Kluyveromyces lactis: one gene and its partner. The protein of the gene in region 2 purifies or fractionates together with the protein of the main gene of each other region. This does not show direct contact. Links are inferred from orthologs where the notes say so. Each region holds a gene or a part of one and is shown on either strand. Other genes may lie near its edges.

Evidence for each region.
Region 1: the proteins of KLLA0_D05016g (region 2) and CTK1 purify together in Saccharomyces cerevisiae (affinity purification with mass spectrometry; 3 studies listed by BioGRID, with this or other methods). This does not show direct contact. The link is inferred for Kluyveromyces lactis from reciprocal best matches to the Saccharomyces cerevisiae genes HRB1 and CTK1.

What each region holds. Positions count from the first base shown.
Region 1 is NC_006041.1:1,079,310-1,082,287, forward strand, and holds CTK1 (cyclin-dependent serine/threonine protein kinase CTK1), read left to right. Parts: upstream 1-935; coding exon 936-2,303; downstream 2,304-2,978. Other genes in the region: succinate dehydrogenase cytochrome b subunit SDH3, read left to right, coding at 142-687; HSK3 (Hsk3p), read right to left, coding at 2,432-2,626; kinetochore-associated Ndc80 complex subunit SPC24, read left to right, coding at 2,854-2,978. UniProt on the Saccharomyces cerevisiae protein: Catalytic subunit of the CTDK-I complex, which hyperphosphorylates the C-terminal heptapeptide repeat domain (CTD) of the largest RNA polymerase II subunit.
Region 2 is NC_006040.1:430,908-434,842, forward strand, and holds KLLA0_D05016g (uncharacterized protein), read right to left. Parts: upstream 2,447-3,935; coding exon 2,435-2,446; intron 2,005-2,434; coding exon 685-2,004; downstream 1-684. Other genes in the region: BUD3 (Bud3p), read left to right, coding at 1-574; KLLA0_D05038g (Zn(II)2Cys6 transcription factor), read left to right, coding at 2,746-3,935. UniProt on the Saccharomyces cerevisiae protein: Binds to intron-containing transcripts and is involved in quality control for the export of spliced mRNAs from the nucleus. Binds to pre-mRNAs until splicing is completed or until faulty mRNAs are degraded.

The DNA of each region.
Region 1 (2,978 bases), on a different chromosome or scaffold from region 2:
TACTCATCAAGACAATAAAGTCTGTTTACTTTCTTGCCTGCTTCATAGACAGGTCTTAAAAGTCCGACTGGCAAATATTTCTGGTATTTTGTTAGGAAAGCAGGAGTTAAAAGGCATACATACAGTTGTTATTATCAAACCATGTTCAAAAACGTTTTGAAACCAGGAATTGTTAGTGGTCTAAGACCCCAAGTTATGACCTCAAACACAAGAGGTTTGATGGCTTCTTTTATTCGTCGTCAGTCTAATGTCGTCACCAAGAAGACTACGGCTCAAGAAGAGTACGAGTTGCTAGTTTCTCAGAGAAAAGTTAGACCAGTGTCTCCTCATTTGACCATTTATCAACCACAATTGACATGGTATTTATCGTCCGTGCATCGTGTTTCCGGTGTTTTCTTGGGTCTAGCGTTCTATGCAGTAACTATTGCGTTCGGTGTTTCCACTGTGTTCGGTCTAGGAATGTCCACAGAGAATTTGGTTCAATTTTATAACGAAAAGATCCCATCCTGGATTGATTTGACCGCAAAGGCTGGGTTCGCATACTTGTTTGCATTCCATTTCGGTAACGGTATCAGACATCTGATCTGGGATACCGGTAAAGAGTTGACCTTGAAAGGTGTCTACAGAACAGGTTACGCTGTGCTAGGATTGACTGCTATCATGGGTTCTTACCTATTAACATGGTAAGAAAATTTTCTCTGTTCCCTCACAGACGCTTTACTCACACATTCCTTTCTCAGTATGTACACTTCTCTATATCAATGATCCAGTTATTTATTTATTCTAAACTTTGAACCGCTTCAAGCGGCTGTAGTTTCATATTCTTACTTCCCTTTCTTCTTCTTCTCTTCTCAATATACTAGGTATTCCATCTTTTCAACATTAAAAACTCTTTATACTTAAATACATTGAAAACTTATCAGTTATAGTTTGGAATGATGATGAAATGGACACACCACAGGCCAAACACAGGGGTATCCATGAGTCAGCCCAAGATTTTCAGGAAGAAGAGACAGGAGTCTCGTTACCACGGTGGGTCGCAGTCGCGGTACCAGCCAAATAGGCCTAATAATCATCATAATACAGCTGGAAATGTTAACGTCAATCGTTCTTTGGGGAAAAGAAATCCAAGAGGTAAGTTCAACAGGCCCAGTAATGGACCTGAAACGAGTGGATCGAGGTTCGAAGGTCATGGCAGTATACCTAGGGGCCCCAGGGCTATGGGGTCAAGTGCAGAAAGCGCTGGAGATTCTCATTCAAGAAATATTTTTGGCAAGAAACCTTTGGCATTGATATCGTTTCAAGATGTGAAATCCAGCTTCCAACCGTTGGCACAAGTCGGAGAAGGTACCTATGGGAAAGTTTATAAGGCGGAGAACGTACATACTGGGAAACTTATCGCTTTGAAGAGGCTTAGGTTGGAGCAAGAGCGTGATGGGTTTCCAATAACTTCTATTCGTGAAATTAAACTATTACAACAGTTGAACCATCCAAACATTAGTTTGATCCATGAGATTATCGTATCGGATAAAAATACAATTTCTATGGGATTCCAGTACATGGAGAACGATTTGTCAGGGATGTTAATGGATAAATCGATCCAGTTTTCCGATTCCAACATTAAGCACTTGATGAAGCAATTGTTCGTTGGGTTACAGTATTTGCACCAACAGCAAATAGTACACAGAGACATCAAGGGATCGAATTTATTGATAGATAACAGAGGTAACTTGAAGATAACAGATTTCGGTCTTGCCAAGAAACTAACGGACGTTTCTTCTCCAGCCTCCAATACCAACAGAGTCATTACGCTTTGGTACAGGCCTCCCGAACTACTTCTAGGGGCAACAGACTATAAATACGAGGTGGATTGTTGGGGATGTGGGTGTCTCTTAGTGGAATTGTTTGCAGGGGCTGCCATATTCCCAGGTTCTAACGAAGTAGATCAATTCCAGCGAATATTGAGCATCATGGGAAGTCCGACTTTGGAACAATGGCCCAAGATGTTAGATATGCCGTGGTGGTTCATGCTTGTACCACAAATATCTAAGACTTACAAGAACGTATTCTTCGATGAGTTCAGCAAAGTACCGCAGGATGCCCTAGATTTGGCATCCAAATTGTTACGATACGATCAGGATACAAGATTCACGACAACTGAAGCATTACAGCATCATTACTTCACAAATGAACCCAAACCACAACCTCTACTCTTGGGACCCGAGTTCAAAGGTTCGCACGAGTACGAAGTGAAAAAGATCAGAAGGAAGGAGCGCGAACGCCAGAAGGAGACCACCGTTTAGAGAAGAAGCGGGGGTTTTCCTTTGATCTCATTTTCTCATTTTCTCATGATCCATAGATATTAGGTATACGTTCATATATACATATAGTGTTACAAACCGATATTTATCGTAGGCATGTATCTCATACCTCATTTCTTTAACATTTCATCTTCGAATACACGGTTACTGCCGATGAAAGTGCTGGCTTGGACGGCTCCCAGTTTCGTTATCATATTGCTTTGGTTTGCCATGATTTCCACTTGAGCCGTTGTCTCATCGAGATTCTCACGAAGTTGTTTCAAATGTGCTGCTAGTCTCGCATATTGGCGCTGTTTGTTGTCCATGGTAAATATCAGTAACGTGGATGACCTTCCGAGTAAAGATCTTGAGCAATATCCTTTGGTACTTCTGTTTTAAAGGTTCTCTGCTATTAGTGGATGCAATTTTAAAGATTCAATGTTTTGATTTAAGTGAACACAATTGACAATCTCATCGAATTGAATCATAAATAGATGTGATATATGAAACAGTACTGCACAGTACTGAGCAACAGTGGATATTGCAGCACCCAATGTCACGGCTCAATGATCCAGTAGAGCTTTTACAGCAAACCCGGTCCAATTTCATCATTGAAAGCGATGTCTCTAATATTAAAGAGATCAAGAGTAATATGAGACAGCTCACGAAATTGATGGC
Region 2 (3,935 bases):
AACAAATGTGGATCACTTAGTTCCACCAGAATCAACCATAAAATTACCGACGGAAACGACCAATAGCCAAGATGAACCTGCACCATTATTAGATGATTTAGAGTTCAGTTTCTTCCACATGTCATTTGACAATACCAATAACACTTCCACTAGAGAGTCTACTATGGATACTGGCGATGTTTTTGAAAATAAAAATGTTCTACCTCGGAAGGTAGCAGAGCCTGTATTCTACAAATTCGACAATTTCACCAAATCCAACGAATCCTTTTTTTCAGCTCACGATAAAGTACACCCAACAGCAGTTGAAAACGACGATGAGCCAATCTGGGTTTCTCCAAGCAAATTGGATATGTTTGACATCAGTAATAAATCAGACACATTTTTCAAGAGTTTACAACCACCAGCTTCAAAAAAAGCTGCTCCTAAGGCTGCTGCTTTCGGTGCTTTGACCGACGAAAACAACGGCAAACATGATGAACCCTCTTTCCTAAGAGATTCTTCCTATGACTACTTAGGTGGCGTTTTAGCAGAAGATGATGAAACAAAACCAACGCGATTGCAGTTCAGCGCTTAGTCCCTATGGAGAAAACGTAGAAGTTTGAATAGGTTATTAATTAGTGATATTACCTCAAGTAATGCCCGCTAGATATCAAAATATAAAACATGATTATTTAGAAGTTAGAATTAGAATCTGGCATAAGTCACCTTTAACTCATGATCTCCATAGGAGTATTTGTCCAATTTGCTGATACATATATCTGCGTCCTCTGGTGTTTCAAATTGACAATATGAGTTCCTTGTGAAATGACCTTCAGGATTCAACAGTAATTTCGTTATTATAACCGGTGCAACACTGCCAAATAGGTCATATAAATCAGATTCAGTGGTAGAAGATGGCATATTTTCGCAGAAGATTACAGAGTTTCTATCACCACCCGTAGTTATAGCCAGAGGATCGATATCTAGTGGTTTTGGTTTAAGAGTTGCTGGTGGTTCATTACGTGGTTGACGAGGGATGTAAGTATCGGCACCAGTGGCTGCAGTACGTGTAGAAGTTCCTTTACCTTCTTTAACATCTAATACACGGCCCTTATACTCTGTACCAGTCCAATGACGAATAGCATCATTTTGTTGTTCTTTGGTAGCCATATAGACCGTACCAAAACCTCTTGACTTACCGTCACGATCAGTGACAACATCAGCATGCAAAACATCACCGCACGGTTTGAACATATCTTTTAATTCTTGCCAATTAACAGAGAATGGTAGCTGTGCCACGAAAACTTCGAAACCTTCATCGTGAGCACGTTTTGGAGGAGGCGGTGGGCCGTTATTATTTCCAGTTCTCGAGATTTCAGCAGGAGGTGGATTATCTTGCCTGACAAAAATGGCACGTCCGTTCAAAAAGGCACCATCACAATCTCTAATGGCCGTATCGACGTCAGTACTGTTATTGAATTCCACAGTACCCATGCCCCTGTGATGACCTCTAGAAGTAATAATATCTGCTCTGCGAACTTCACCGATCTTACCAAAATATTCCTTCAAATCCTCTGGTGTAGTATTATATGTAAGGTTACCGATGAAGATACTGTTGGCATAGTTTCTGTTTACTTTTTCATCATATGGAGAATCGAGCTCTCTCGCTAATTTCGGTCCATAGTCTCCTTTAGCGGCGGCAGCAGCAGCAGTAGCAGCTCCTCCTCGATCATATCTCGAGGATCTACCACGGCCATATCTACCACTGTTATAACCTTGATTCTCGTACCCATTGTCCCTTCCAACAGAACGGTATCCACGATTTACAGATCTTCCACCCGAATATCTGTCTCCGTCCCTATCTCTTGAATAAGTGTCCCTGTTATATCCTTCAGATCTTCTGTTATCTCCGCTGTAGTTTCCTCTTCTATCATCCCTATAGCTACGATCAGGATAACCGCCTCTGCGTGGATCTTCGTTTCCTGATCTTGCTACAGGTGATCTAGATCTCGATCTCTCTCTTGACTATATTAATAAAGGCCAGAAAAAAGTAATTAATGGCAACTCATATAGTAACCAGTTAGTATCACATGTTAACGCTTGAAGCAGAAGCCTAGAAATGAACTAATCTTTAGATTTGCAGCAAAGATGTATTACAGCCAATGACTAGTATGTTTCCTGCGCAGTAGTTTTCCTTAGGTATACTGGAAACTAAAAGCACTTATAATAGCGACACCTGCCACAATCTTAGCCAAAAAACAAGCAGAATTAAACCATCGCATACCCAGTGTCAATAGATGCATAATATCAATAAACCTTACCAGCTTGGATATCTGTTCTTTGATAATTCATTGAGCAACAACTGTCGGTGATAATACTATAGATATGGTATGATCATTGTGTAGCAGTCTAAACAGCCATTTCACACCAATTCCTTTTCAAAAATACAACATACGTATGAACTCATATTTAACTACCAGCCACAACCGTCTAGCAGCAGTCTTGAAATTATTTCACGACGTTTAGCAATGTCATAACGAAGTTCTTTTCAGTGCTGAATGTTTTCACAGATTTAATTCCTTCTGAATTTTTTTCGAGGTTTAGATGTGTTAATGAATAAAAAGAGACGTGCATGATATAAAGAATGCCGCATGTCATGTGACTCAATGCAAGTTAAAGCGTGGCAAGAAGGGAGAGTATAAGACCTGTAAAAGGGCATATTACGTCCAGGTGGTTGGTGTTGGTATAATATAATATATTATTGAGATGGCAGACACTACTCCGGACACTGCAGTCTCTAATGTGACCGAACCTGCCAAGAAGAAGAGGAAGTATTCCAAAAATGGATGCCTTGAATGTAAGAGAAAGAAGGTTAAATGTGATGAGACGAAGCCTATGTGTTGGCAGTGCACGCATTTGTCTCTTGAATGTGTTTATAAGACCAAAGAGTTTCAATTTGTTGTTTCTGGGGGACCCAATAAATCTCGAGTAAACTCTAAAGTGACCTCAGTCTCGGATAAAAAGAGAAAGAATAAGGAAGATGGCGATCTGCATAGGAAAAACATGGAACATCATTCATCATCTGATACTAGAAAACTCTCGAACAATGAACGTGACGTGGATTTTGAGCATGCTGCAACCAATGCGATTGGTAATGACGAAGATGATTTGAATGCGCTATTGAACGATGCGCTTCTCTTTGCTAATGATTTATTCTCCAAGCTGCCCGAAACAGACGCCGTGACCGCAAACCAAGGCCAACAGAAAAGTATCAGTTCTATCAATGATGACATAGGCGGGCCCGTGTTCAACAGATGGGAAGAGATCGAAGGAATGTTAGGAGAGGTATCAAAATCGGAATTATCATATTTGAAGATATTTTATGACAATGTATCATACTGGTTGATGCCGCTAGCACAATCACCGGATTCTAACATTTGTAACCATATCTTATTCCAGCACGTAATAAGAGCAAATAAAAAACACGCCCGAGAAAAGTCTTACTTACAGAGTTCGATGGTGTCAATCAGTGCTAAATATGTCTACAATGTTTACGGGAAAGAGCATGATAATATAATTAGGAAACATTTCTTGAGAAAAGCACTACAGCAATTGTACCAAGAATTCGAATCTCTATCCCAAGAATCATTGGGGTTTTCACAGATAGACTCTTTGAATTTATGTGTGCTATTGTTGACATTGGATAGTTCAACGTTTGGAACTCAAGAATGGAAATTCCATCTACGAGGAGCTAAGGATCTACTTATGAAATACAACGACAACAGAGAAATGGTGACTGGAAGCACTGGGAGCACACTTTTGCATAGGAGGACTGTAACACTAGCACGTAACTGGTTTTGTGCCATTGCTATAGTTGCTTGTGTAGCGAAAGGTAACCATTTTTTCAATGAAGCAGAAATGGAGGAGATGTTAGATATTGGATCCAGTGATTCATC